4 linked regions of the Saccharomyces cerevisiae S288C genome follow. Changing the gene in region 1 together with any one later gene gives a genetic interaction. Each region holds a gene or a part of one and is shown on either strand. Other genes may lie near its edges.

Region 1 (8,540 bases):
TTATCTCAGAGTCCGCTTCAATCCCGAAACATTAAATTTAAGTGATGAGAAACGTAGAAGTCTCTCCGAAAAGATTAATAATCAAAAATTAATTGAAATCATTACATCCAGTTCATCTCATGATTGGGAACTTTACAACGGATTATGGATATATCTTTTGAAAAATTTGATCAATTGTACTAATGATGATAGAGTAGAAGTTAAAAACGGTGCTGTGCAGACTTTTTTCAGAATCATCGACTCCCATTCTGTTTGCTTCCCCCCATGGGACCTAATTTTCTTAGAGGTTATTGAACCACTGCTTACCAAGGAATGGTCCACTGAAGAACTCGAAAATGAAACTGATTTTATAAATGTAACATTGCAAGGATTAATTAAGCTTTATCCGGAACACTTTAAGGACTTCAAAAACAACACTACCTGCGCCAAGGAATGGTCAATGTTATTAGATTTTTTGAAAAGATTGTTGTCTTCCACTTCTAATAATACCAAGAATGCTGTAATATTAAATTATCAAACCCTGCTGAAAGAAATCATCACTATTGAGGACGTTCCATCAGATATATTGAAAAAGTGCTGCGAAATATTTACCGACTACAATATTACGTACAGTGATCTCTCCACAAACGCATCGAGCAAAACTGAATACGATTGTATATACGAACTAATAACCGGATTTCCTCCTCTTTACCAATTAATATCGAAATACGATGCGATGACAGATGAATTTGTGGAAAAAGTTCTTCTTTTATTCAATTCTGCCATAAAATATCCTCTCTTACCTGAGTTTGTCCAAGACAAAACTAAACCGTCCTCTATGCAAAAGGCCATATTGTCTGGACTTGATATATTTATGACAAATGATTCTAAAGATACAGAAATTTTGATTCTTCTCCAGTTAAGTACAATATCGATATTGGCTTTTGATACAAGGGAAAAAATAACAAAAAAACTTGGACCAAAGCTTCCAAAAGCATCACTTAACAGGTTACCAACTTTTGAGGCAATCAGCTATATGTCATGTTCTAACCTGAGAAATAGAATAGCAAAAATAGATCAATTTGGTATATCCACACTGAAAGCAAAGCATATTTTAAGAATATTGAAAAATTTGGCTGAAATCATCAAGCGAAAATCGCTTATTACAGGGTCAGAGAGTGATGAAATCCCCATATGGGTTCTTGCTTCCAATTGCTTCTGTGATTTGTCGAACAAAATTTTCAAATCACTCCAAGAAGATGCAGAAAATCCATTAAAGGATAACTTTTGTGATTTATTTATAAATGTTATTGTTGTCACATTACAAAGAATCAACCCAGAGCTCGATAATTTAACCGAGATAGACGATTTGAATGAGTATTCCAAATATAGGGAGATATTGCTGGAAAACAGAATCATTGATCTCTTCAATGAAAGGCAATTAGACACTTTCATTTATGCCGTCTGGGATTGTTCATTTTTATATGAATTCGATGAATTAGAAAATGCTTTGATGCAAGACTGTGGTACGTTTTCTGAATTGTCTCAAAAACTATCTTCGTTCGATTTTTCATGTATATTTGGATCCACCACAAATCCTCGCTTTCAGACAAAATATAAGTGCTCTTTAGAGTGCTTGCAAGATTTGGTTAATTTTATGTTGAACACAAACGAGAAATTAAGAAAGTTAACTGCTCCTTATCTTTCTGCAAGAATTGCCCTTGCTCTTAGAAGATATATCTCAGATGAATACTTGATTGGGCGAGCACCAATACCAAAATTGCGTAAAACAGAACTAGCTACTCTATTAAATGGGCTATGCGTGATTTTAAGAGGTGTTCTAGATCAAAATTCGACCCTTGGCAACAAACAAATTGGAGTTGAAAACCTACAAACATTAAGTCCGTTGATTTTAAGAACCATCCCAGTATCTCATAAAATGGATGGCCTCCAAGATAAAGTTTTGGAATTATCACTTGGATTTACGAAACTAGACTAGAAGCTGAAGCATGGACGAATATTTTTAAAAATCACGTAGGATAAATAGTAATATTAAACGACATTGGATTGATTATTGTATCGTTGCAGGTCTTTTTTTATTTACTTTAAAAAAAAAACTTTTAAGGTGAACGTATTTATATATTATGCCATTGGTATGCATAGCTAAAAGAAAAGAAATACATAAGATTGTAGTATGTATGATATGCTTATAGAAATAGTTGTGTGCTTCATTCCTTCCACTCCAACAGTGATGTCAAATCCTTTGGATCACATGCCATATTGAAAAAACCGTGGTGTAAAAGCTCTTCGGTTGATGCCCTATATCTAACATCTACGCAAAGGCAAACGCTTAGAAAGCGTTTAATTTCTAAAGACAAACTTTCTGGATGCTTGAGCTTTGGTGTACCATTAGTTGCAATTAAGTACAACGCCTTTAGTGGATCTTCATTTAAATATGGTGGTTCACCCTCCAGCATTTCAATGGTCATGATACCCAAAGACCATACGTCAATCTTTTCATCGTATTCACGTTGTTTGACAACTTCAGGTGCCATCCAGTAAGGTGTCCCAACCATAGTGGCTCTTTTGCTTCTTTTATCAGTTAATCTGGCGCAAAACCCAAAATCGGTAATTTTCACCCTAGCTCTAGTGTCCAGCAAGACATTATCTGATTTAATATCCCTATGAATGATATGCTTGTCGTGTAGAAATTTCAAGCCTTGGCAAGTTTCTCGTACGATATATGCAATTTGGGGTTCTGTTAGTGGTGAATGTGAATTATCGTTGGTGGGACTATTCTCGATAATGTCTGTTAGTGAACCTCCTTCCATAAACTCCATCACAACCCATAGGTCATCGTCTGTTCTCAAATAAGCCTCGAGAAAATTGACGATATTTTTATGACGTGAATCCTTCATAACCAAAATTTCATTCACTATGAGTTCTTTACGAGGTTGTTTAGATAAGACCATTTGCTTGATAGCAACTTTATCTCCTACGTGCGGCTCATCAATATCATTGTTTATGAGTTCGATCATATTACTTTCTGTCGGAATATGCGTCCTCTCTGCAAGGTAGACGGACCCACTTGCACCTTGACCGGCCTTCTCGATCACTTTAAAGCATTGAGATGGATCCGCATTTACGGTGACTTTCTTCAGCTTACTCATTATTTCTGCAGTTGACATGGTAGGCCTTGCTGGCTTCTTCGGTTTGGCCACACCACCCGGTTGTGCGACATCTGCATCCGGTCTCTTTGGGGCCTGCCTCATTGTTTGTGGGGTTGACTGGTCATTCTTAGGTGCAACAGGCTGTACATGTGTGTTACTAGTAGCATTTTGATTTGATGGGTATGGCGCCCTTGGAGCTGATATTGGTGGCTTTGGAGCTGTTCTTTGAGGTTGAAAGTGTGCGGCTGTAGGACTTGAGTTTTGTGCATAACGTGGAATTGCTTGGTTTTGGGTCGACTGTGAACTTAATGGCGATTGAGGTTGTTTGGAATAAGGATTTATCATATTGTGATGTGGCCTATAAGGGTTTAATGGAGACGGAGATGGGGATGGAGATGGAGATGGTCCTTGATGGTGGTATGGATATTGTTGATGCTGTTGTTTTTGTTGCTGCTGCTGCTGCTGCTGCTGCTGCAAAGATCGTTGAGAATTGTTTGGATGCATAGGTCCCCTAGGAAATTGGCCATTGGTTGGGGAGTGTCCGTTTCTCATCTTAGGATATTGTTGGTTGGGAACATTTTGTAAGTGTCTTGGAATATTTGACTGACTAGTGGGCAATTTTGTATTTATTGGTGGCAGTGAGCCGCTTCCTAGAGAAACAGGCGATTTGGTATTTGGTGGTTGTGAGGTTTTCCTCTGTGATACCATACTTGAAGAAACGCCTGAAGATGACTTTGAATTTACTGAATTATTTCTGAGTTTGTTATCATTATAGCTGTTTGGCAGCGATTTTTGAGAGGAGGAAGTTTCACCACTTTGAGGCTTGTCTAAAGTATTTGTGGGATTTCCGGCTCCATTATACTCTTGATAAAACTGCAACACTTGAATGACAGCCGCAGAATTATTGTTCCAATCTTCTCCTGTAATTCTGGAGTGCTTTAATAATTTTTCCCAGTTGGTGGGCATACCAACAAAACTACCTGTTTCTGGATCAAAACCAACGTGAACTTTATGTGTGAAGTTTGTTGGAGAAGATACACCACTTAATAATGGACATTTAGCAAAAATGGCGTCTAACCAACTATGCAAATCGCTTTCTGTCTTTGTAGCAATGTATATTGATTTTTTGGAGTTACTGTCTGATGATACATTCAAAGAGGACGAGGATCCTGATGATACAGAATTTCGGTCACTGCAGCGCACCAACTCAAAACAATATTGTTTCAACTGTGTCCTGCTTACACTTATAATACTAGTTAGTGGTATCTTCAAGATCGCATCGTCATTTTGTTTATCGTTCTTGTAAAGGGCTACATACGAATCGTGTAGCATCAGGTATCTCTTTTGCCATATAAATGAAAGTATACCGTCATCTTTGTAGGACACCCACCCGCTTTTTTTTTTGGAGGTACTTGTACCTAAATGGGACGCTGATGTTAAATCCAGTTGACTCATAAGTTTGGTTATAGGTTGCGTTTGATTATAGCAAGTACGGCCCTGGCTATTTGAACTGGGAGGTCTAGGTGCCGGTCCGATATTTTGGAAATCGTTGTCAGATATCTTATTCGCTGCAGCTGAAAGAGACATATTTTGCACTATTTCTTTTATGTTTCAGTTTCACTGTTCGATTTATTACACCAAAGAAACCACCAGGAATGAATGATAGCAAAAGATGCAATGGTTTTCAGTAGCGCAGTACGTTCGATCGAAATAAAGGACTTAAGGTTTTGATCTTATTAGCAGCAGAAGCAAATAACTGGCAACGCTAATACATGTACAAGGCTCAGGCTAGAAGGTTCTTTCAAATTATGTGTCTCGAATCAGACTCTCCTGCACGTTCCATACTATGTTTCTATCATGCCAGAGATGAAAAATTTCGTCATCTTACCGGCTCGAGAAAATTTCCATATCGGGAAACTATCCTTTTTTGGTGGCTCTATATTTCCGGAAAGGGAAAATACCCACGCGTTTGATATCATTAGCTTATTGTTTCACTTGGACATCGATGTGGTATTCTTGTATAAATAGTAAATAGTCTATAAGAGTCTATATTGTGTTAAAGAGCCTGGCCTTTAGAGAGCCAGTAGTCCCTTCTCGTTTGAGCATCTACTGTCTTAGTTTCCAGTGGTGATTTCTCATCTTGTCCCGAAGGGGTATCTCTTCCTTTTTGATCTTGATCGGATTCTTGATCATTCTCAGAAAGTCCCATCAAGTCATCTATGCTGAGGTTGTTTTGGTGTAGGAGAGAGCCCTGATCAGTTTTTTTCACTTTGCGTTTCAATTTGCTTCTGCTCACTCCAAAATCCGGAGGTGGAGATGGAATGGCACTCTTTTTGATTTCCCCTTCTCTCTTATCCTTTTTTGCCTTCTGTTTCTTCTTTGCAGGTTCGTCAAGTTTGTAGATCTCCTCTACTGGCAAGTCTTCGGTGTCGTTTATAAATAAATCTTCTTGAACTATCCTCGTGCGCCTCTTGTGGTAGCGCTCGTTTTCAATGATGGCTTTATTCTGCACTAAATCTCTTTCGTCGTTGAAATCTCTCTTTTGCCCACGGTATTTGATCACGTTTCCGAGTATACTTTTTCCAACGCGGTCTTTGAATGTAGCAGAATTCAATTCCCAGCATTTATTGACCAACAGTTCGAAGGCACCAGCAAAGGCCTTTTTTATATCCTTCATATTAAAGGAGCCTCTGCTTATATTATTGTTAGGATCACCAGGATCTTGAATAGCTAGCGAGAATTTACTCCTTGAAGGTTCCAAAGTTCTCCAACACGATTTAGGAATATAAGAGGCGTAACCATCAGATATGCTTATAGCAACGTCATCATAACCAAAATTTTTTCCGTAAAGTTCGAAGAAGTCAATCAGTAGAACACCCAGGTTATCTAGAACGTCGATATCGTTTGATTTTATTCGCGGATGCATATTTAAAAAAGAATAAACCAAACAGATTACTGTGAAACCTCCCAATCCTCCTGTGTGCACATTGTTCAATCGTCTTGAATGCAAAAATTGTTTTATTATCAGTACCAGTTCACGTAACCCTGGAGAGTCTCTTAGCCATTCCCTGATGAGTTTTGCAGCCTCTAACCCGTTCGTTCTTTCAAATGAAACGTCGATATGTAACTGTGATTGGGGCTCTATGAATTTGATAATAGGCACTCGCGTTTTAACAATAACCTCCATTCTTATAGCTAGCCCTTTGTTTTTCAAATGTCTCGCCAATTCATAAATGTAATTTCTGTCCTCTTTATCGCGATTCCGGCTGTTTACGACACAGTCAATGTCAGAACCCGGCAAATATAAATCGGTGGCAAAAGAACCAAACACATGCAAATCTGCATCCGACCACAGTTCCTTGACCGCCCGGCGTAGTTTATCGATCGTTCTATTTCTGCACTTGATTTCGTTCTTGCTTGGAGAGATATAATGAACGAAATCTTTGATTTCTGAAGTTAGCCAATCTGCTATTCTCCTTTGTTTCGAATGACAATGATTTCTTATCCAAGGATACTCCACATTGCAAGCGCTTTCAGTGTTCAGAGATTGCTGTGAAGTAAGCTTAGAAACTTCATGTTCATCGGTCAACAGAAAACTGCTTCTTTCATCATCATCTTCCTTTATTTGTTCTGTTTCATCTTCAGAGCTGTCCGAAAAAGCAATAAAATCTTGATTATCTTCGAGAGAATTGTTTCTTTTGCTAGATTCTGCCCTTTGTTCATCTTCACTTGATGTGACTTCTTCTATTACAGGTATGTCGACATCACTTTTATCATTTTCCATTAAGACTAGGTTTCCGAAAGTGTCATCGTCTTCAACGTCGATAGCGAGGCTCTCGTACTTGTTAAAATGCGAGCGATTATCGTTAAATACTTCAAGCATTTTTTGCGTTCTTGTGAAGGATGATTTACGCATACGTTTTGTATGTTTATCTTCTTTTCTTTTACCTTTTGTAGGTGAATATTTTGCTTTGAGCCTTGTCATGACGACCCAATAAACTCCGCCCTCGTTTGTTTATTTGAAAAATAAAAAATGATACGCTAGTGAAACGAACCAGCTTAACCTTGTGAACTGTTATTACAGATGTTTGCTTTCATCAAGTATCGCTTTATTACCTTTTTACAACTTTTTTTTTTTTAACTGCGATGAGATGAGATGCCTGGAAATTTGCGGGGGGTAACCACAAGAAAATAAATGTAACATATCGTTGAATTAGTATGTAGTTATGAGTTTATACAATGGTCTAGTAAGGTGCCTTCTGCGTCCTTATCGAAAGGAACTTTAGGAGAATGAAGCAGACGTTCCTTTATTAAGTATGACCAAGGAGTCCTTGCTTCGAAGCTAGCGAATCTGGTAACTGAGGGAAAATACATATCATGTAGATAAAAAAATGTGAAATTAATGAAATGAAGCGGAATATCCTTCCTAGTTTAAGTTGTCCATGCAACTTATAACAAAGCAAAGGCAGCAGCACCCATGATGGCACCCATACCCGCAACGGAGCCTTTAACGGCAGCGCCGACGTATGTGCTGATCTCATGGGTGGTGGTGTTAGCTTGGCTACTGATAGATTTAGTGGATAGAGTGGCAATGGTACTTGTAGTGTATGGAGTGGAAGTAGTTTTCACGGTGGAGACCATAGATGTAGTACTTTGTGGGGTGGTGGTAACATCTACGTAAGTGACACCATCAGAGGTGGAATCTGCGGAAGCAAATGCGGCAATGGCAGCAACGGTGGAGAGAGTAGAGAATTTCATTGTATTTTGATATTGATATTAAAGGAAGGTAAAAAGTTGGTTTAAAATTAGCCGAAGGCAGGGATAAGGAAGGAATGCAGTTGGTTTTCTATGGACTACTCTTTTAAATGATATATGTACCAATAAAGATGGAGTAGGCGTAATAACAAAGTTTCAAGGCCATATATAGCGCCTTATATATACACATGCATGTATTTATCACGAATTTTATTTTCCTCGAGAATCACCACCGTTCATTACAAGACTATACCAGAAGACGCCAAAATCAGACAGAATTGATCTGGCGGTGCCTTATTCGGAAGTACAAGATCAGTATCAATGTAGTGACTCTGCTACATTTCGTGTCAGGATCTTCACCTTTTGGCGACTGCTAATGGCTATATATACCGTCATTTTCGCGTCACTTCTTTGTGCTTCCTGCTTTTTCGTGACGCGCGGTTTTGAAAACATAGACAAGTTTTTGGCGTCGTTGTTAATTTCGAAGAGGATGTCCAATATTTTTTTTAAGGAATAAGGATACTTCAAGACTAGATTCCCCCCTGCATTCCCATCAGAACCGTAAACCTTGGCGCTTTCCTTGGGAAGTATTCAAGAAGTGCCTTGTCCGGTTTCTGTGGCTCACAAACCAGCGCG
Region 2 (8,104 bases), on another chromosome or scaffold:
TCTACACATTTTTGAGCAGTAACGTCTTTATAATCGAAAGGTTTACCCCAAGTTTATTTGCCAAAGAGTTCAAAACTCGCCCAGGTATAATTAGTAATTTTTTAGGGAGAAATTCACAGAACTCGGTAAGTTTTCTTTATTGACATTGTCATTTTTGGATTATTAGGATAAAAATAATCAGCGCCCTACAGGGAGATTCAACGGCCACTGCTTCCCTGAAATTCTCCTCCTCAAACCAGACTAACCCCCATATGAACTACATAAAATCAGTGGAACGTTAAAGCACTCGAAACCTTATTCAAATGGCTGTCAGGTCCTACTATCATACTATTACAATTTTTTTTAAAATGTAATTAATGTTAACTTTTTTTAATTAGAGGGTATGTAATGCTAATCCTACATAAGAAGGTGATAATATTTGTAAAAATACTAATGAAGTCCACCTACTCAATATCAGAAATATAATTAAGATGGTCAATTTACAATAATTGAGGAATGAAAAGTAGCCATAAGCACTAAATGATATGAATGGATATGATTAATAATTTCGTGGTGATAATTCGTTACCTTGTTCATCATAGAATTTTTCTTCTATTATGTCATTTGACGCAACGCTACTATTTATAGGCTCTCCACCGCTATTGGTATTATTATGGTCGGCGGTGTTGGCGTTTGGTAATACGCTATCGCTATCTCTTATTCTGACGTCGAAAAGGGAGCTTTGCTCCATCACATCATCTGCTTCATCTAGGTCTAAACCACCTGCGGACGATGCACTACCACCTAATGGTGAATCGGAGTGGTATTCATCACTAACTTTCTTACCCAAAAGCATATACCACCATTTCGTAAATTTGTTAGCTCTATATGCCGTAACGACCTTACCATCTGAGTCAATAAAGTCCGTCCTTGATGATTGGATACAAAACATGTAAATTAAAGCCAGTATCACCAGAATCAGTGGTACACCAATACCAACCACACAACCAATGACGATGTTTCTATTTTTTTTAGAAAGACCCGAACTTTTGGATTTATTGCTTGAATCAGCGGTTGCTGATGGTGTGTACGTAACGGTAGTATAATGATTTGAGAGAATCGTCTTACCGTTAATAATACTGGTGATAGTGCTTCCTTGATTATAGGCAGTAGTGGATGGTGTGGAGGAGGTTGAAGGTGCAGAAGTGATTGTTGATGGGGATGATGAAGAGGACGGCGTTGACGACAGTGAGGATGAAGATGATGTTGACGTTTGCGTAGAAGACGTCGATGATTCAGAAGTTGCGGATGTCGAAGAGATGGAAAAGGATGAGGAGGATGAAGAATCTGAAGAAGCAGAGGAAGAGCTGCTGGTGCTTGAATCTGATGAGAAACTGAATGATGTGAACGATATGGAGGCAATGCTGGTAGACGAACTCGTATGTGACACGAGGGACCTACTTGATGTCGATGAAGTAAGGGAAGATGAGTCAGCACTTGAGGAAGAAACCATACTGGATGACAAAATGGAACTTGAAGAACTAACTCTACTTACGGAAGAACGTGCAGTAGATACTGCTGAAGAATTCGAAGATGATGATTGCACGAAAAATTGTGCGCGTATCGTCGATATGCATGACAGTATTAAAAGTAATAAGCGGAAACTATTCTTGGTTGTGAAAGACAACATACTATGATTTGCGTATTTTATATGTCCAATCTTCAACGAAAGTAGCGAAATAATGGTACTATTTGTTCAACGAGAGTAAAAATATAGTATGTCTTTGAGGCAGAGGCGTCTTCGTGAATCTAGAATGTGTTTAGGGATAGTTGTATTCTTTTCTAGCCTACCTAAAACGCAAAGTCAGCTTTAAATTATTTTTCAAATTCGCAATATAAATGTATACCTTCCTTATAAGACTTATAACGGAAAATATGAAGAATCAGAAAAAAATGGTCCACTGTACTCGTAACTTAATTTGAAAGCCTTGAATGGTGAGTTTGGTAAGTAAATGAAACTAGAAAATAATATGGGGATGATCTGAAACCAACTTGGTTATTGGAAAGTTGTGCTAAACCAAACACAGGAAAAAAGAGTGTAAAAACTGGGGTGATGTCTTTATGTTCTTTATGACTTTGTTAATTTGCAGATTATGAAAGCAAAACGGCAAAAATAACGGGTAAAGATTGATTCAAATCTGAAACAGCAAATTCATTTACCATCCCATCTAACGGTGCTCCTTCTGAATGGCCCAATGCAAACTCCTACAAAAAAATTGCCATTTTTTTGCACAGACCACGCCGCTCAGCCTCGAGAAACATTCCTCGCGGCATTTCCGTGAGATCTCTCAATTAATTTCTTTTTTTAGATTTTTTTCCGTTTTCCGTTTGAATAATTTCGCGTTTTCGTAGAGCGCGACGGCCTATAAATAGACAGATTTTGAATTTCCTTTTCGGGCTTTTAAGATTCACTCCCCAATTTTTAATAACGGACATTTCGTGCTTGGCGGCTACTGAGTACCCCTCTCAAGAAAATGAAGTGATCGCCAAAGCAGTTATCATATTTGTAACTAGTTATACATGCTTACATATACACAGATATATAAAAAATAGATTATATTTGCTGAGGGATTCTCAGTCGAAAAAATAAACGTGCGTCGTGGAACTCATTGAAGGCATCCATTAATCATTTCTTTTTCCCTTTCTTCTTATTCTTCTTATTCTTCTTCTTATTACTGTTGCTGTTGCCAGTATTTTTTTTAGCTTCTTTAGTGGACAAAACGTCATCTGTATTTACTTCGGCTTCCGTTGTCTCTTGTTCTTCCGTGACGGCACTGCTTTCAAGAGAAGCAGAGGCCTCAGTTTTTTGGTGGGTAGTACTCTCACCAGAGGCAGCCTCCTTGGAAACGTTGTTGATATCGTCTTCTGCCTCTGAACCTTTTTCTTCTGGTTTTACATCTTCATTGGATGGCTCGACTGCAACACTTTCGGTAGCATCTTTAGGTTCGGCTTCAAGTTCTATATCTTCTTCTTGATGTCTTGGAGAGGCAATGTCGGTAGTAAACTCGTTGGTTTCTTGTACGGGTTCACCGGCATCCTCCACAGGTTCACTGGTATCTTCCACAGGTTCATTGGCATCCTCCACAGGTTTGTTGGAATCCTCCACAGGTTTGTTGGAATCCTCCACAGGTTTGTTGGAATCCTCCACAGGTTTGTTGGAATCCTTCACAGGTTTGTTGGAATCCTCCACAGGTTCATTGGAATCCTCCGCAGGTTCATTGGCATCTTCTATAGACTCATTTACTTCTGGAGTTTCAATTTCAGCTTCTGGACGTCCAAATTCCATTGCTGCATCATCTGCAGGTTCGTTATTTTCCCCTGCACTTTCTGTGGTTATGTTGTTTTCAGCTACTTCTTCAGTCTGTACAAATCCATTATCAGCTTGTTCGTTAGAATGTGTATCGGTATCCTCACTTTTCTGTCCCGTTGCTTCTTCATTTGGAGAACTTTCAGCCACAGCTTCATTCGGTTCTTCTACCACGGCTTCTGCGGAAGAGTCCGCTTTGTTTTCCTCTATATTGGGAGTACCAACAGGTTCGCTTTTCAAACTTCTTACGGAGGGGTTGACGGTTTCGATGGTGGTTTCATTCTCCAAAGCCGTCGAAGCATGCAATGGATCTTCTACAGGACTTACTGGGGCAGTTTCATGTCCACTCTTTTCTCCTTGTTCCTTAGCTTCTGAAGGATTACTCTCATTGTCATTAGGTGATGCAACCTGTTCGACATCTGTTGTGTCCTCGGGCATCTTATTTTCATCCGCTACTTCGGCTACCGGCTCATTCTCCTTTGAGTACGAAAGTTCTTCCTCATTAACTGGTGGGAATGTGTAGTTTTTCAGTATACTTTGATCTGCATCTAAGTAAAATCCTCTAACACCAACGATTCTTTTCTCAACCTCACAAGCTCTCACCCATTCCGGTCTGACAATTGGTATGTTGTTATGTTTTGCCCTTATAAGCTCTTCATTGCTTTCTTCATTGTCTAGATCGTTACAGACAAAATGCGTAGTATCTATCGCAACATGACGTTGTAAAGGTCTCGCCCCGATGTGAGACAAACATTGGGATATCTGTAAGTCTGAAATTTCTTTCAATGGATCCAATGGACCCAAACATACAGTGATACCAGACATGTCAGTCATCTTATGTGTACGCAATATAACCTTTTCAGACCATAATGTTCCTGACGTGGTTATCAGTTTCAATTGAAATTCGTATGGCGTATCAACGGAAAGACCGGATATTTTCGTGGTAGTCACTTTGAATGGATTTGGAATTACCATTGAACGTATTCCCTTCCTATAAAGGATCAGTGATTTCAATTTTGCTGAGCCAAGTTTCAATGGATCCCATGCTAGAACACAGCTCGTTTGCGTAACGTTAACAATTTTCAAAACTGGGCTCTCCGGTTTATGGGTACCATACTTCTCCAAAATTTTGGCTTGTATACTCTTAAAATGATTCCTTTGTTTTTTTTCCTCCTCTAAATTTTGTGAAACTTGCATTTTTATGATAGATCCAGCTTTAACATTTTCTGGTAATAATACTGTAGGAAACTCAATAACATGATGATCCTGAGTAGTCAGTAACGCCAATGAGGCATCCAACTTACCTACTGTTAACAGTACATCAACTGAAGACATTATTCGCTACTCGACCAGGTTCTAAAACGGAAACGTAACATGCAAGCTAAACCGCGATAACATTTAGCATCTACGCAATAAATAATGAGGCTTTAGAAAGGAGAACTTGAAGGGCCGACCGAACTTGTTAAAAAAGAAGTGCAGCTACATAATTTCCGTCTTAAGTGACATCTTTTTAGTGGTCGACTCGAGGCTACTGGAAGCAATAAGATAAGGATATGGCAATAGCTTATAAACGGTATCATATGAACATAAAGCGCATTGCATAACTATTGTTAACTAAAATTTTAATTGCCCAAAAGTATTTGATTAAATTATATTTTATGCATGCTACTTATTGTACGTTACAGCCGGTAAGGAAAAAATTTGAAAATTCTGAATTGGAGGACCTCTTCTTCGACACAGAATTTGATACGCGGTTGTTGAAGATTTGTCTTGGGCAATCATGTTAAGCATTATTGGAAGAAGTACTGAATTGCTCGTTAGGGCGTAGGATATCGGAGCGAGCGAACTTTGTTGCCACTTCAATCGGAGCCTTGAAATCATGGAGAAGACCATCGGGTATTCAAATTCCAATTGAGACACTATTAAAGAGGAAAAATATTCATTAAAATGAGGAATAACCTGGCTTATTTCGACATAGTTTCCCTCTTTAGAAAAAAAATTGACAGTTGTTGATAACTCGGAAAGGTAATAGATTTCAGGATATCCTTTGGCATGCGTATGAAGCTCTCTGGGTTTGCTTATGAACGTACTTATCTGAGCATCCGTTAAAATTGTACATTTTAAACTGAGAATGACGTGGTTTTCTATGGTGCTTACATCTTGAACTTGATAAAACAGTTGTTCCTCCCAAAAGCGAATACTTGAACCTACAATCTCGCGCAATTTTGTAAACAACTCTTGCTCTTCCGTAACTAATCGATCGTTCATTTTAAAATTCAGTTTAATCTTCACTTTTCCTGGTACGAGTGACAAAGCTACCAGTTATTATAGTTAGTAACGCTTCATTCACGGATGGGTTTTAATTTTGCTAGGAGAAACATACTTTCAACATTCCAGGTGGTAGCAGTGGAATATATAATGAATTAGAGTCGGTTGATTCCGGTCCCTCAATGCGTACGGTTGAAGTCCAAGCAGATAACAATTTTCCTGCCTCATCATTATTTACAGCGCCACAACTTTCTAAAAATACGGTCAAAAATGTGATATCTCTTGCCATTAGATTAAATTTTGAAATGTTGGAATCCAATGGTGAACTAACGTGCTGTTGCGCTTATTTCTTACTGTTTGTTTTCCTTCCATTTTTTATATTTGGTATAACCGCTGAAGGTTATAGAAATTAGCTCTTTAAGAGAAAAAGGCGAAAAAATTAGTGTAAAAGTGAATTATACTACAGAAAAAAAAACTATACTAAAACACAGATAGGTAAGTCATATGTCACATTTCTACTCGCTTGTACCCTCCAATTAATTCCTGTAGGGGAAAATTGGAAATTGTAAAGAGAAAGATGAAAGAAAGAACGAAGCAATTCCGGACGGCAAATCATTCTTTGTTTCCAAGAACTTGCTTAACAGGTTCGGTTTGGTCCACATATAGTCTATGTTCTTGGATATACCTGATGACCGAATTAGGTAACAAATATTGTACAGACATGGCGCGTCTGATAAATAGACGAACTTTCGTGGAAGAAATATCATTATAGATGAGTTGCTTGATGATAAGAATATTCCTTCTATGTTCATACATAATATCATGGGATAACAAAAAAGACCTTACATCAGAACCAGTACGTTCGACAATCAAACAACCGTAATTACCGAGAATGTGATGTAAATCGGCGTCCGCCCAAACGTTTGGTTCACCCATTGACTCTATTAGGTCACCACCAGCCAGCAACATTATTTTCACACCAATTTTTTCTCCAGTAACAGTAGCTACACCACCTCTCTTAATATTGATTTCGTGATTGAAATGATCCAAGACCTTGGCAGTTCTTGTGTATGAAGGTTGCAATGACTCCCATGCATCCACCATCAACCAAGATGAGGTTCTTTCGCAGGCCAATTCACACATACGTACTCTATGGTAGGATGGGGCCAAGCCTTGCTTTTGATAGTTATCACTAACAGGGGAGTAATATCCACCTATGACTTCAAACCTTGTTTGTTCAGAGATTGCATCTAAAGCCATTTCAAACATTCTTAGATGCAAGTAGGTGATTGGTGAAAAAGACCCACATGCTACTATTACTAACGGCAGTTTATTTGGATCCAGTAATTTTTTCGATAATCTGTGTGAGGGGAATTCGTAGTCTTCCAAGGTTCTTGCTTGACGAACGATTCCATGTGGAACTTCTTCTAAATCAGCAATCTGATATTTCTGAACACCTCTAGTTTCTGATTCTGTGGTTGAATCTGAACCGTATCTCTCCTTGGATCTAAAATCCGCGTCATCATCTTCGGAAGACACTTCTGCGGAAAGTGGTTGAAAGTCGTCTTGGTTCAATGGAATATGCTGATGTTTTTTATCATTGCCTTCTTTACGACTGTGATGATGGTGATGATGATGCTTAGGATGCTTTTTCTTCCTCTTAATATTAAAAGGTGCATCTATAGAGGAATTCGCATCGGCTAAGACGTATGGAATAATTGGAATAGATTTGGGAATTTTAGATTCCGGGTCGGGTGGAGGAATCAATTCCTCGTCTGCAGATGGCGGTTTGAAATCCGGAGCTCTTGTGGGATCCATGTTTCCTTTTTTTTTTTCTATCCCTGGTATAAGTAATTGACGCAACAGTTTTTTTTTCCCTTCCAAATTTTTCTAATTTGTTATACCATGCAGATACAATAAATGTTGATGAAATTCTAAATTAGGTGAAGAAATTCCTTTCTGCAAAAAATGAAATGAATTACTGACTCTATTAACTATGAGAAAGCGTACCTACAGAAAAAACAACGGTATCCCATTGTGAAATGGGGGGAAACTAAAAAGATATGGATAGCGAATCTTCGAGCAATAAAGTTCGTAAATCTTTGTAGGTGTTCTATCCTACGTAAGCGGATGCAGCGCAATTCCAGCCGTCTTCATCGTCATTTTTCACCCGGTAGAGGCAAAAACAGCGAGTGCTAAAAAAAAAACCGGATTTTTTTACGCCGAATGCGGGAATTTTTATCCGCTTTTGTCATGGAGTAAAGAAATTAAAAAAAGCGTCACAGACAGGATTCGAACCTGCGCAGGTAAAACCCAATGCCTAATTGCTTTTCTGAGGAAATAGCAGGCATCGCCTTAACCACTCGGCCACTGGGACGGTTGAACAACGATCTAAAAATGAATCGTTATATTGTCCAAATTTTGTGTCACATCAAATGCCCATTTGCGCATTCCTATATCCTCGAGGGAGAACTTCTAGTATATTTTGTA
Region 3 (6,840 bases), on another chromosome or scaffold:
GTCAGTGGCAGGCAAATGACCAAAGACAATAATTAGGTCGATTTCCTCCTCTCTGTTTGTCTCAACCATATTTTGGAACCAGCTTTTTTGAGTTATTTCTTCCAATGGTGGTGTTACGATGGCTCTGTTATTTGCTCTTTGAAAACTAAACAAAAATGATAATGCCAGGACTCTTTGTTTCATTATGGGAGTCTCGAATGTAATGTATTTATTCCCGAAAGGAACCCTTGTTCCGTCATCTTCAATAAATTCTACGTTGCTGCAAACATATTTGTCTTTGAATTTTGAGGACTGAGAAGTTCCTCTATACTCTAGTATGGCACTTTCAGCTGTATATAGCTCATGATTACCTAACGTTAAAAGATCGTAATCCATCATGTTGAATATCTCCGAGCTTCGTAGGCCGGGGGGCCAAGTAGCATCACTCAAACCATTACCGTCTCGTTTGTCGCCAGTGTCGATGACTATTACGTCTCTGGACTGTCGTAAAATTTTTTCTCTAAGTATATCTACAAATGCAACGAAATCTCCCCAGTCAGCATCATAGTCGTTTTGTGATAGATGGGACCCCAACCAGCCATGAGTATCGGTTGTATGGATAAAATTTATATCCCCTATATGGATATCTCTTAATGGTACATCCTGCGACGGCGCTAAAACTGCCTGTTGTTGTTGATACGGCTTTGCAAAGATTAATCCTGTAAGAGCAACTAAACAGTGTACAAGCTTTAGTATCATTTTACACTGTTGCGCACACCTTTATTGCATTCACTCTCTTTGTTATTGCTGTAGTTCTTGTTGACGGCTTGAGGGGAAATAAGCTTATCGGCTTTTGCAATTGGCGGCTAGTTGGCGAAAGAGCGACTGATCGATAAGGACACTAAAGTAAAAAATAATATTAAAGATATACTGTAGAAATGTTTCATTATGGTTGTAATAATAATTTTACGTCATGCAATGGTTCAGATAGAAAGTTCGAGTTTGCTCTGGAACACAATTGTTTGTTTTCCTGCTTTCAAGTTAGTGCCATCTACTCTCTAACTACGGACGCCTTTACCGAAACCTATCTAGACAAATGTGTCTTTCTTGGAATAATATGAGCGTATATATGATAACGTTCGGGTGAACCTAATGCCTTGGTTCCTTACTCTATTTTGATCACTTCCTTTTTCGTTCGTTTATACATTTTGTTTCTTTTTACCAATATTCAACTTCTGAACACATAGATTTTAATTAAGATACAATTTGGCGAACTTAATTTGCAAACGATTTTACATGTAAGAAATTGTTGTACTGAAATCTTGATGTTAAAAAGTGTATGACTTTTACAACCTTTAGCAAGTATAATGGTTTGTGAAAAGAACCGTAAAATATAATCGTCATCTTAATAAGTTGCTAATGAATGATCACTGAAATTTCTACAGCAACAAAATTTATAACTCAAGTACAGTCGTGTTTTGCTTTCACTACGATCAATAGTATTATTATTACCGATGATTCCACTGTTAGTGTTATTATATTCAAGAGTGTACACTTCTCGCTAAGTAATGAAGAAATTTGCACATCTCATGTGTACACTCATTATACAAGATCACTTTCAACAAGCATTGAGTCACTAGAAAATTACAAATTATTTTCCCAGGAGGTGTAAAATGGCATATGTTTCTGCTGTCCTTGAAAAAAGTATGGAATAACCAGAAGCTTTGATAGAAAACGCCGAGGATAATACTCTGTGTAAAGCTCTAACCTTCATTCATTTTGTCACATTATCCACCTACTTGAATTCTAATTTAGAATACGAGTCGAAATAGTCTCGAAGAATAACTCACAACCTTTTTCCTATTATCTGTATGCTATACATGCCGCTGATTTTTCATTTTTTTCACTTTTAAGAGTAGAAAAAAGAAACGAAGTGTACATAATTAACTAAAGCCACTTGAAACAAATAATCAAAAAGTTCAAAACACCGATTGTTAAGAAAGATGTCGCCTTTGAGAAAGACGGTTCCTGAATTTTTGGCACACTTAAAATCACTGCCAATTTCAAAAATTGCAAGCAACGATGTGTTAACAATATGTGTTGGTAACGAGTCAGCAGATATGGACTCAATTGCTAGTGCAATCACTTATTCGTACTGCCAATACATATATAATGAAGGTACTTACTCGGAGGAGAAAAAGAAAGGAAGCTTTATTGTCCCAATTATCGACATTCCTAGAGAAGACCTCAGTTTAAGAAGAGACGTAATGTATGTCCTAGAAAAACTGAAAATTAAGGAGGAGGAATTATTCTTCATTGAAGATTTAAAGAGCTTGAAGCAAAATGTCTCCCAGGGTACTGAATTAAACTCTTACTTGGTAGATAATAACGATACACCAAAGAATTTGAAAAATTATATAGATAACGTCGTTGGCATTATAGACCACCATTTTGACTTGCAAAAACATTTGGATGCTGAACCTCGGATTGTAAAAGTGTCCGGCAGTTGCTCATCGCTGGTTTTTAACTACTGGTATGAAAAATTGCAAGGTGACCGTGAAGTGGTGATGAACATTGCACCACTTTTGATGGGGGCCATCTTAATAGACACTTCAAATATGAGGCGCAAAGTCGAGGAAAGTGATAAATTAGCTATCGAGAGATGCCAAGCTGTTCTTAGTGGTGCGGTTAATGAAGTGTCTGCGCAAGGTTTAGAGGACAGCAGTGAGTTTTATAAAGAGATAAAATCAAGAAAGAACGATATTAAAGGATTTTCGGTAAGCGATATTCTAAAGAAGGACTACAAACAATTCAATTTCCAAGGAAAGGGACACAAAGGGTTAGAGATTGGTCTTTCATCAATAGTAAAAAGAATGTCTTGGCTATTCAATGAACACGGTGGTGAAGCAGATTTCGTCAACCAATGCAGAAGATTTCAGGCGGAGAGGGGGCTCGATGTATTGGTTCTGTTGACTTCATGGAGGAAAGCTGGTGATTCACACAGAGAATTGGTCATATTGGGAGACTCTAACGTGGTACGTGAACTCATTGAAAGGGTTAGCGACAAGCTCCAACTTCAATTATTTGGGGGCAATCTTGATGGAGGTGTGGCGATGTTTAAGCAACTGAACGTCGAGGCCACCAGAAAGCAAGTCGTCCCCTATTTAGAGGAAGCGTACTCAAACCTGGAAGAGTGAAGGGAGATGTTATATATGCTTTATTTGGTTTATATATGACCCATATAGATATTTTTGTACACTACTATTTGTCTTGGTGTTGTTCAGGCTGTTCAGACTGCTCAGGCTGATCTTGTTGTTGTTGCTGCTGTCTTAACCTTTCCTGTCTTTGCTGCTCTTCTTCCATAGACAGACGCAAGGCCATTGCCAGTTCTGGGTCCATTGATGGGTCTACCCCGAAGTCCATAAATGTGCCATTGGCATCGGAATCACCGCCAGACCCACCAAAGGCGCCCATACCGGAGGATCCTTCTTCGAGAATTATGGGTGAAGATGCGATGTTCTCGTACAGCAGTCTGGGGCCAGGCGTCACAGTAAGCAAATGACTAGTTTCTTCTTGAGGGTTGTTCACTGCAGCTATGAACTCATCCAAAAGCTCCGTGTTCTGTTCAATCTCTCCAAAATTGATGATGTCCACGGCAACATTATTCTTTTTCAGTGTTTTTGCCAATCTGATCAATTCGTCTCGAGAATCACTTATTGGGCTACACACAAATGCCACAATCCTTTGATGTTGGACCTTATTCTGGCGATGCTTCAAAGTCAGCTGAGCGATCTGCAACGCAGTGGCCATATGCAGCTTACCCTCGATCTGCGTGTCGTGTAGTCCAGCAAGAATCTTCCCAAACTCGGCGGTAAACGTAGATAACACCCTGGGGTTGGCGCCAGCACCAGAGATAAGACCCACTGTATTCTCAGGATTGCTGTTTCTCTTGGCTTGAAATATGAACTCTACCGAGTCGATCTGGGCTTCAAACCTTGTCCTAGGAAAGTCGCCATTGCGAGAGTACTCTGAATTATCAATCACTAACACTGTAGCTTCCAATACCATTGTGCGGTTACTGCTGAGTTATTTATTGACTTTTCCCTTCTTTCTTTACGCTTTAAAAGTCTGATATAAGTGTGTATTTAGTTGTAAATTCCGGTGGCGAAAACCCGCCTGGCGGAAATAACCCGGCAGCTATAATGCCATATAACTTCAAGAGAATACAATTGTAAACAAGAAGTGGCAACAACATCAGCAAAAGGGCAGCTGCCGCACTCGGTTACGATGATACCGGCTCTCACTCCCGAAGAACGGCAGAAGTTGCGCAGCGCAATACTACATCGAATGCAGCTGGAACGTATGTCACCTCACCGCAACACTCTACCCCCAACCTTCACCCGCACTAATTACTAACACAACCTCAGTGGAAACAACAGAAAAACTGATCGAAAATATTAAAGAGGAGACGTTAAAGAAACTAAATCTGCTCCAGCAGCCTGATGCAACATCAGCGCCTCAATCAAAGGAACTAATCAGAGAGGTGCTTGAACAGGAAGGACGCCGTATAGAATGATTAGTTCGTATAATGGACCCTTTCTCGGTATTCGCAATGATGCACCTATTACTAATCAGCGGCCGATTTGTTGGTATTAAAGCAGCGTGTGGTTACATCCCCTTGTTGAATACATGTCTACTTAGCAGAAGGCCAGGTATATGGAAACATGCGTTTAATCAGTAAAGTTTTGGTGAAAACAAATTGCCTAGAGGTAGGTATGAGGAGGGCCCCACAATGGTATTCTCACTACTCTACTACAGCGGGCAATGCTCGTGTGAACAAGAAGGGCAGCAAAGTAGTGCCTGTGTTAACAGGGTTAGCACTGGCATCCATATTCGCGAAGAAATGGTATGACGATTCCCAGATCAAAAAGGCGGATGCCACCAGCGTTGCAGTGGACGCATCCATCTCTGCGTTCCCTAAGAAGATGGGCCCCCCACAGTGGCCCTTCTCCACGCAATATGAGCTGATTGGTAAGGGTGTACGTTGTGTCTCATCGATCACTTTCAAAGCATATGGTCTGGGCATATATGTGGCCGCTGAAGACAAACATCTGGTCTCTGAAGTACTGGACTCAAAGTTCCTGTCTCAGGCGTTCATCGACACTGCGGCACCCCCATCACCGGAAAACTCACATCAGGATAATTTGCGTGCGGCTTTGAACGATCCTGCTAAGGCCCCTATCCTGATTAATAACCTCTTAGACAGCGGAATCAGACTAATGTCCAAGAATACTCCGATAAAAGCAGGTTCCTTCAAGTTATTGATGGACGGCACCAAAAAGAGCGTCCTAAAGAACCCAGATTCTCAGTCTCAAGACAAAGACCGGCTGGAAGCTGGATTCCAAGAATTGCATGACTGTTTCAGGAGCGTAAAAGGACTTGTGGCTCGAGATGATGATTTTTTCATTGAGCTGAATAAGGACTGCTCTATGAATTTGTCTTACTACGCAAGAAAGAAGGATGAATTTGTGATATTGGGCACAGTGAAGGAACCCCTTATTGGAAAGCTCTTATTTGCCCACTACCTAGCTGCTGTGGATCCTCCTTCTCCGGAGGCTAGGAAGGAAGTAATCGATGCACTCGTCTCTCTATCTTAGGACACTTTCGCCGACTTCTACATACAATTACATAATACATACGCTGTTCCAAAAGCTGCACATATACTCTAATGATGTTTTTTTGAGTTTCCTTTCGACTCAATTTTTCTAGGAGGGACCCCTCAAAATGTTTACAATGCTATTCGGTTTTGACAAGAAAAAATCAATTCAAAACTCTTACGGCGTTACAACCGCGATAGAATCCCTTCATGGACAGAGGAAGGTGCGCCAATATGCTAAAATCACTCCAGCGAACACTAGCTAAATGTCAGAAATCTCCATCAACCAACCATTGGCAATGTTTCAAAAGAAATTTTACTAGTATACGAGCCACTAAATACCCTGGGCGTTCTAATTCGACGTTCCACTATTGGCCCTGGTTTGCGGCGTCAACATTGCTCGCTACTTCGTTATACTACCGTGATCGTCCGGTACAAAATGACGATAAAACTGATGCTTTTCCTTCTCATACTGAATCGATACAGGTAGACTCTAGCGTATCAGATTTCCCACTAACGATTACTGCTTTAAATTTCCCTGTCTCTACAACTTTTAAATTACTGGGATATGGTCAAAGGCACGTCACGTTTTTGAGGTTCAAGGTCTATGCCTTGGGTCTTTATCTAGCTGAAAATGACGAAAACCTTGTTTCAGACACTCTAAATGAAACTTATTTACATAAATATTTCCTTGATGTGGATGATTCTAAGACTCCTAAGGAGAATCTAGCTAGATTATTGAAACGTGATGACTCAAAATCCGTTATGATGATTGATGACTTACTGGATTCTGGAATGAGAATGCTAGCCAAGATAACTCCCGTAAGGAATACAGATTTTAAGCATCTTAAGGAGGGCCTGGTCAAAACTATTTCTAAACATCCCGATGTGGCCAATAATAAAGACACACTGGCGAAGGGCCTAAGTGAGTTAAATGATGCCTTTTCACGTAAGGGATCCGTCAGGAAAAATGACGATTTGATCATCGAATTATTAGCCAACGGCGCTTTACAATTTTCATATCATGACAGTAAAAACAACGAATTTGAGGTCATGGGAGTAGTTAATAATCAACTCGTCGGAAAATTCTTATTTAGCCAATATTTATGTGGCGAAAAATCTCCTTCTCCACAAGCCAAAAAAACAGCTATCGACAAATTGATCACACTCCTCTAAACTTTTAGAATTTAGTCTTGTTCATACCT
Region 4 (8,177 bases), on another chromosome or scaffold:
GCCTTGTACAAGAAGCGTGACGAATTATACAGTCAAATCAGACAGATCAGAGCTGACTTTGACAACGAATTCAAATCATTCAGAGCCAAATTGGACAAAGAACGTTTGAAACGTGAAGAAGAACAAAGATTATCCAAACTTTTGGAACAGAAAGATGTTGATATGGGTAAATTGCAAGAAAAGTTGACTCATGCCAAGATTCCAGCCTTCACTTATGAAATCGGTGCCATTGAGAATTCTTTGCTTGTCCTGGACCCAACTTATGTGAAACCAAAGAAAAACATCCTGCCTGACTTGAGTAGCAATGCTTTGGAGACCAAGCCTGCCAGAAAAGTTGTTGCTGATGATTTGGTTTTGGTCACTCCAAAGAAGGATGATTTTGTCAATGTTGCTCCATCTAAATCTAAGAAATACAAGAAGAAGAACCAACAGAAGAACACTGAAAATGAGCAACCTGCTTCTATTTTCAACAAAGTCGATGGCAAGTTTACTTTAGAACCAACACTAATTGCTACTTTGGCCGAATTAGACGTAACTGTCCCAATCAACAGTGATGATGTCAAGATCACCGTTGAGCAATTGAAGAAGAAGCATGAAGAGCTTTTGTCGAAACAAGAAGAGCAAACAAAACAAAACATTGAATCTGTCGAAAAGGAAATTGAGAAATTAAATTTGGACTACTCTAACAAAGAGCAACAAGTAAAAAAGGAATTGGAAGAAAAAAGATTGAAAGAACAGGAAGAGTCTGAAAAAGATAAAGAAAATTAAACCTGAAGTAGAAAAAAATTTTTCTCCTGATCTTTCTTCATTACTTAATTTTTCTTTGGTTGAGGTGATGTTTTTTTCTGTACTTAGTATTCACTACGTTAAAAAAACACATGGTCTTATTTTCCAAAATGCCTATTCCCTATATATCTTTGCCTATATGTATATAGTATTAATAGCTTAGATTGTTTCTGCTTTCTAAAAAAATAAAAATTGAATCACATACTACACCAGTCTGAATACATCTACCAACGTACACATTCATATATTTCTACATAATAAATTGCAGATTTACGTCAATAGGGTGTGACGATGATAATTGTGGTTTTTGAGAATACTTACCAGCCAATTCTTTCCTCATGTTCTGTAAAAGAGATAAATATGATTGCTGTGGTTGTAAAGTCATAACCTTGATGAAGGCGTGGGACATTGCACCTGTATTTTGCCCATCTTCGACAGCATCTGCAGAAGTTTGATTATCCTTCGAACCTGATAACATAACAACATCTGCTGCTGAGAATTTGATCTGTCTCACGCGTTCTCTATCCACATTATTGCCCATACCTCCCTTAACGGTCTTGAATATAGAACCTAAAGAACCAATCAAAGCAGCCCTGTTTCCTGTGGCATATGAAATAGCTGCTTGCAGGCCATCTTGGCCAACATCCTTCCAAATATTGGGCTCCTTAATAATACCCTTAGTAGAATAGGTATATGGAAGATCCAACACTGTACCCGAATGACAAGAGTCAAACAATGCTGTTAGTCTAACACCTTGTTGTAAGGGCTTCACCATTATATCGTGCATTTCATCGTCGATAATTGGCCCTTGAGTTTCGAAATCGACCGGATATATAACATCATCCATCCCATCTTCTTCGTCCCCATCCAAATCTTCAGTTTGGCCACCATGTCCAGAATAATGAAGGAACAAAGAATCATTGGGTTGCGCATCCTTGACCAACCATTGCATGGCCCTAATCATATTAGCCCTAGTGGGAACCCTGACCAAATCGTTCTGATCATCAGTTAATATGACAATGTCATCTGAACTGTAACCGTACCCATTAGTCAAAAAGTTGAAGATGTTATGAGCATCATTGATACAACCACGCAGTTGATTTTTTGAACCTATGTAGTTTATACCGATAATCAAAGCCTTTCTACGCCCAGTACATTGAGAATACTGATAAGGTTGGTCTGTACCTTGAATAGTTTGTGTTTGAGGTGGAGGTAATGACATATTCTGGGGTGGACCGTACATATTGGATGCGTTTACATTAGGATTGTTGTAGCCGTTGCTTAATTGTGCCTTTGCCTGTTCCTGCTGGAATTGAGGGGGGGGATACACAGGCCTGTTATAAGCCATAGGGGGAGGACCTGGTGGTGGAGCATATTGCTGACTGAATTGCTGATCATTTTGTTGCCCATATTGCTGTCCATACTGCTGTTCATATTGCTGACCATATTGCTGTCCATACTGCTGGTTAGGTGGAGGAGCCATGGGCCGTTGGTAGCCATTATTACCACCAGCGTTGTTGTAGGTGTAACGTCCACTACCTGGATACATGATTGTAAATCTAGTCGGTCTTCTTTGGTGGTAGTTTAGATAAACTTCGAGGCTCATCTTCATATTTTTGGCTCCTATTAATGCGAAGCCATGCTTTTTCAATAGTTGTTATTACCCGGACGCTTTTCTCGAAGCAGTTATTTGAAAAGCACTTGTAGTAATCAAATATATGTATATGACTCGATGGGCATTAAGTATCCAGTTTTGTCAGTTATGTGGATTTTAAGGAGAACTGTTAAGCCACAATAATGTATAGACGATCTGTTGGAGTACTATTTGTTGGGAGAAATACAAGATGGATTTCGTCCACTATTAGGTGTGGAACGAGCGCAACTCGGCCAATAAGATCCAATGCATTGAATACTGATTCAGATAACGCTAGCGTTAGGGTACCAGTTGGAAATTCAACTGAGGTTGAAAATGCAACCAGTCAGTTAACAGGGACTTCGGGAAAAAGACGCAAGGGGAACAGAAAAAGAATTACAGAGTTCAAAGATGCTCTTAATTTGGGTCCATCTTTTGCAGATTTTGTTTCAGGTAAAGCTTCGAAAATGATCTTGGACCCTCTGGAGAAGGCAAGGCAAAATACAGAGGAAGCTAAAAAACTACCTCGTTGGCTTAAGGTTCCTATTCCTAAGGGTACCAATTACCATAAATTGAAAGGCGACGTAAAAGAATTAGGCCTGAGTACTGTTTGTGAGGAGGCAAGATGTCCCAATATTGGTGAATGTTGGGGAGGCAAAGATAAATCTAAGGCAACGGCAACAATTATGCTGCTTGGTGATACTTGCACTCGTGGATGTAGGTTTTGTTCTGTGAAGACCAATAGAACGCCTAGTAAGCCGGACCCAATGGAGCCCGAAAATACTGCCGAAGCTATCAAAAGATGGGGGTTGGGTTATGTTGTTTTAACTACCGTTGATAGGGACGATTTAGTCGATGGTGGTGCTAATCACCTGGCCGAGACGGTTCGCAAAATCAAACAGAAGGCACCAAATACTCTTGTAGAGACTCTTTCTGGTGATTTCAGAGGTGATTTGAAGATGGTGGACATTATGGCACAATGTGGGCTTGATGTTTACGCACATAATTTGGAAACAGTTGAATCACTAACACCACATGTCAGAGACAGAAGAGCTACTTATAGACAGTCTTTGAGTGTTTTAGAAAGGGCAAAAGCTACGGTTCCGTCACTGATTACTAAAACATCAATAATGCTGGGTCTAGGAGAAACTGATGAGCAAATTACTCAAACTTTGAAGGATTTGCGCAATATTCAATGTGATGTTGTTACATTTGGTCAATATATGAGGCCAACCAAGAGACATATGAAAGTCGTAGAATATGTGAAACCCGAAAAGTTTGACTACTGGAAAGAGAGAGCTTTAGAGATGGGATTCTTGTATTGTGCATCTGGACCCCTAGTAAGATCGTCATATAAGGCTGGTGAAGCATTTATTGAGAACGTTTTGAAGAAAAGAAACATGAAATAATGCACACTGAAATCTAATAGTTGGAAGAAAACAATTATGGCATGGACCGCAATGTCTTTGCTTGCTGGATTATTTATTTATATCTTGTATTTTATTTATTTTTATGGTTAGTATGTTTTTGCATATTTATTTTTAACACAGAAAAGTTAGGAAACAATATCAAATATTCGATACGAATTTGTATATTTACGGTATATCCTTAATATTTTATTCTCATGACATATTAAGGGAAAAGATAAAATGCAAAAGAAAAAAATGCGTTTATTTTTTTTCATTTTCTAACAACTTGAGTAACTCCTGCTTTTCTTCTCTTTCTGAAGACAGCTGCTTGTTCAATTGCTCGATTTCTTCTGACAGAGTTTTATTTTCTAAATTTAATTGATCAAACTTATTTTGGTACTTGTTTTCATAGCCTTTTTTCAACAGTTTGACCTTTTGTTCGTGTTTGGATGAATACTGGATATACAAATCTTCTGCTAATAACTTTAGCCTTTTATTTGTATCTTTTTCTTTGGCCTCATACTTTTCTTTCCAATCTTGTACTTGTTTTCCTAATGATTTAATTTTTTCATCATCTCTATCCTTTTGATCATTGCTTAAAGTAACGCTATTATTGTTATTATTATTTTGTTCCATTAATACTTCATTTTCTTTTGTTAATGTTGTTATCCTGTCGGATGAAATCTTCAATTCATTTTGAAGAGAAATAAGGTTTTCATGAAGATTTTCCAATTCTTTGATGTGCTCAGCCTGAATGTTACTATTTTTTAGTTGTAAGCTTTCTAATTCTAGCGAAGTTTTTTCGAATTTTTGTTTCTCCAGTTCACACTCATTTTCTAGTTTATGAACTTTGTTTTCTAGTTCCGTAATTGTTTCTTCCAAATGCAATTTTGATTCCTTTAGATCTTCAATATCTCCGTTCAACTCTGTAACTTCGGCATTGCGTATCTTAGCTTCGTCTTCGACAGTTTCGTATTTACTTTGCCACATCTTAAATTCATCATCTTTTGAAGTGATCTGTTTTTTTAGCTCGTCCATTTCACTATTCAATGAATCAATTTCAGCTTCTTTTAGTTTTAGCGTCTCCTCATTTTTAATTAATTTATCCTGTACTACCTTCAAATTATCGTCGTTCAGGTTATTCAAATCATCCATTTTTTGTTGCAAGTTGTTTTTTGTAGATATTAGCTCATTAATTTGTCCTATAAGGTCAGAGTCGTTGAAGTCCTTAGAAATCGATAAAGTTTCCTTCAAACTCAATTTTAAATTATCTAGTTCGTTCTCTTTAGATTTCAAAACAATATCTGTGCTTTCAATCTTATCATTCAGTTGCACAATGCGAGAATTCAAGTCATTTAACGTGGTCTCATATTCGGATAATTTATCATTATTGCCTTTCAATTCTGCTTTCATATTTTCCAGTTCTACATTTTTATCATTTAAAATTTTCTCATTTTGCTGCAAAGTGTTGACAGTATTTTCATGTTCGCCCTTTATATGATTTACTTCAGTAATTGAGGCATCGAATTTTTCTTGTAATATTTTTTGGTTGGAATTCAATACCTTAATTTCTGTATTCAACTCCTTAATCCTCTTTTTGAATTTTTCCACCTTGGCAATATCGCTCTCTCTTTCTGTATTTAGTTTATCTAACTTTTCATTTGTCAAATCTATTAGTAGTTGGTGATTTTTGTTCAATTTCTCGTATTGAAAAGACAATGATTCATTTTTGGAAATCAAAGAGTTTAACATTTGATTTAAGTGATATATCTGATCAGTGAGCTCCTCGTTTCTTTTTGCTACAATCTGAAAATTGTCATGTCTAATATCAAGTTGGTTGTCATCATCGTAGTCATTCCTCCCCTCTTCATTTGAGTTCGACTCCCTTGCAGAAGTCTCATACAAAGGAGTAAGCCTGTTTATATGAGAATTTGTTATATCATTTTCTTCGTCCTCCTTTTCCTTATAAGCATTGTCAATATTAACCACATTGTTACTGTTAGATTTTATGAAGTCTTCCTCTTGTTGTTTCTCATTTATATCATTTTCTAATTTAAGTGTGTCGGTATTGATATTGAAACTATCGTTTCTTTCAACTCCGTCGTTTATTATGAATTTATTTGGGCTTATGTTGGTCTCAATCATATCAATCGCCATTGGAGACGACATAATTTCTTCTTTGTCATTAATGATATCTTTAGTAGAGCTTTGTTTCAAATCAGGTACTGATTCTAACTGCAATTTCAATTTTTTATTAATATGGCTACCTTCTTTATCATTTTCATCTACGTCCACGTTTTTGTCGCTTCGTTTCTCTGAGGAGTTCATTTCAACTCTGATCGGTGAATAATTCAATGCAAGGACATGCTTATCACTAGTACTTGCGCCTCCTTTATCATCATTGGTACCTGAATCTGATTTTTTGTCATCAAACATTTTATTTATGTCTATATTCTCTAATGGATTGGCATTATTCTTGTTGTTAAGAGCTGATGACCTACCGTAATCAATCGAGCGGTCTAAATCCTGCTTCTCATCTTTCTCCTTCTCGAGCGGTTCATGAGGATGTATCACGAACTGGGAGGAACCAGGAGAGTTAAAGCTGGAATCCGGTTCGGAATTAAACGTGCGTGGGTTACGTTCTTGCGAACAGTTTTCTGAATTCTGCTCGCGTTGCTGAGCTTGCCCTAAAATAAGCCTAACTGGAGTGGTAGGAACTTCGTTCATGAATTACGATATGTGCTCAAAACCTTTTTTAACTGGGTGCCCCTTGACACCAATGATGCTCTTTTTAGTTAGTGTCCTTCAAATGAACCATTAAAGAGGAACTCATCGTACACTCTGAATTATAAATAAATAAATAAAGAATATAAATTAACGCGAAAAAAAGCTTCGTCAAGTATGATGTGAGACAGTTGAAGAAAAGATGAAGAAGCCAAATAACAAGGTGGATAAAGCCATACGGCATATTATCGGGGGCAAGCTCAAAGAAGAAAAGCGATAGTATCACACAAATCAAGGCCATACACAAGGGACATCGTTGGATATCATGTCGAATGCAGAGGCCAGCAGAGTGTACGAGATTATCGTAGAGTCTGTGGTAAATGAAGTAAGAGAGGACTTTGAAAATGCGGGTATCGATGAACAAACTTTACAAGACCTAAAAAATATTTGGCAAAAAAAGCTCACAGAGACGAAGGTAACTACTTTTTCATGGGACAATCAGTTCAATGAAGGAAATATCAATGGTGTACAGAACGACTTAAATTTCAATCTTGCTACCCCCGGCGTAAATTCTAGCGAGTTCAATATTAAGGAGGAGAATACCGGTAATGAAGGTCTAATTTTGCCAAATATCAATTCCAACAACAACATACCGCACTCTGGAGAGACCAATATTAATACGAATACGGTAGAAGCAACTAATAATTCAGGTGCTACCTTGAACACAAATACTAGTGGTAATACAAATGCGGACGTAACTAGCCAGCCTAAAATTGAAGTAAAACCGGAAATAGAACTTACTATTAATAATGCCAATATAACTACCGTCGAAAACATAGATGATGAAAGTGAGAAGAAAGACGACGAGGAAAAGGAGGAGGACGTGGAAAAAACCCGCAAGGAAAAGGAGCAGATAGAACAAGTAAAATTACAAGCGAAGAAGGAAAAAAGAAGTGCATTATTAGATACGGATGAGGTCGGTTCAGAACTAGATGATTCCGACGATGACTATCTAATTTCGGAGGGTGAAGAGGATGGGCCAGATGAGAACTTAATGCTGTGCTTATATGATAAAGTCACAAGAACAAAGGCGAGATGGAAATGTAGTCTGAAAGATGGTGTGGTGACCATCAATAGAAATGACTACACATTCCAAAAAGCTCAAGTGGAAGCGGAGTGGGTATAACTAAATCTTTAGACGTAAAGAAGAAAAAATGTATATATACAAGTACTATAATATCAAACTAAAAAAACGAAATAAAGAGGGATGCAACGAACTTGGTCATCTGTTGTCAAACAGCGCTTGTATGTTCATTAGCCGAAGTGACTTTGGCTCGGTTCCATAGCTTAAGGAGTTCAGTAACACCGGAACCTACTGAAATTATTTCGTAAGCTAGCTCTGAGTTATATTTGTCCCTTTTACCTTTAATATTAATTAGATTAGACAATAAGTTTAGTATTATCTTATAAAAATCCAATGTAATATTATTTTTCCGTAACTCCAAATTGACTTTGTCATTGGTAGGTAGTTTGTACTTTAACTCGTATTCCTTTATTGCATTACCACTGGTATTATAGATACTTAAATAAATTTCATCTCTTATTAGCTGTCGCCATTGTTCAAT

The links.
Region 2: mutations in CLA4 (region 1) and CHS5 together harm fitness more than expected from each alone (negative genetic interaction), as found in Saccharomyces cerevisiae (7 studies listed by BioGRID, with this or other methods).
Region 3: mutations in CLA4 (region 1) and RPN10 together harm fitness more than expected from each alone (negative genetic interaction), as found in Saccharomyces cerevisiae (7 studies listed by BioGRID, with this or other methods).
Region 4: mutations in CLA4 (region 1) and SLK19 are lethal when combined (synthetic lethality), as found in Saccharomyces cerevisiae (8 studies listed by BioGRID, with this or other methods).

Annotation. Positions count from the first base shown.
Region 1 is NC_001146.8:65,111-73,650, reverse strand, and holds CLA4 (serine/threonine protein kinase CLA4), read right to left. Parts: upstream 4,737-8,540; coding exon 2,208-4,736; downstream 1-2,207. Other genes in the region: MON2 (Mon2p), read left to right, coding at 1-1,978; non-canonical poly(A) polymerase TRF5, read right to left, coding at 5,206-7,134; TOS6 (Tos6p), read right to left, coding at 7,599-7,907. UniProt on the Saccharomyces cerevisiae protein: Involved in budding and cytokinesis.
Region 2 is NC_001144.5:784,241-792,344, reverse strand, and holds CHS5 (Chs5p), read right to left. Parts: upstream 4,682-8,104; coding exon 2,666-4,681; downstream 1-2,665. Other genes in the region: MID2 (Mid2p), read right to left, coding at 539-1,669; JIP3 (Jip3p), read left to right, coding at 1,299-1,676; REC102 (Rec102p), read right to left, coding at 5,012-5,632, 5,730-5,903; nicotinamide-nucleotide adenylyltransferase NMA1, read right to left, coding at 6,227-7,432. UniProt on the Saccharomyces cerevisiae protein: Component of the CHS5/6 complex which mediates export of specific cargo proteins, including chitin synthase CHS3. Also involved in targeting FUS1 to sites of polarized growth.
Region 3 is NC_001140.6:496,286-503,125, reverse strand, and holds RPN10 (proteasome regulatory particle base subunit RPN10), read right to left. Parts: upstream 4,048-6,840; coding exon 3,241-4,047; downstream 1-3,240. Other genes in the region: SMN1 (Smn1p), read right to left, coding at 1-738; PPX1 (exopolyphosphatase), read left to right, coding at 1,983-3,176; NBL1 (borealin), read left to right, coding at 4,267-4,339, 4,407-4,555; AIM46 (Aim46p), read left to right, coding at 4,704-5,636; AIM18 (Aim18p), read left to right, coding at 5,846-6,811. UniProt on the Saccharomyces cerevisiae protein: Multiubiquitin binding protein.
Region 4 is NC_001147.6:711,244-719,420, reverse strand, and holds SLK19 (Slk19p), read right to left. Parts: upstream 6,556-8,177; coding exon 4,090-6,555; downstream 1-4,089. Other genes in the region: BFR1 (Bfr1p), read left to right, coding at 1-768; Ca(2+)-dependent cysteine protease MCA1, read right to left, coding at 1,037-2,335; LIP5 (lipoate synthase), read left to right, coding at 2,584-3,828; TOA1 (transcription initiation factor IIA large subunit), read left to right, coding at 6,878-7,738; PEX27 (Pex27p), read right to left, coding at 7,845-8,177. UniProt on the Saccharomyces cerevisiae protein: Has a role in spindle assembly and stability. Required to ensure a timely exit form mitosis. Essential to maintain pre-anaphase spindle polarity. Associates to the plus ends of the microtubules at the kinetochore and spindle midzone.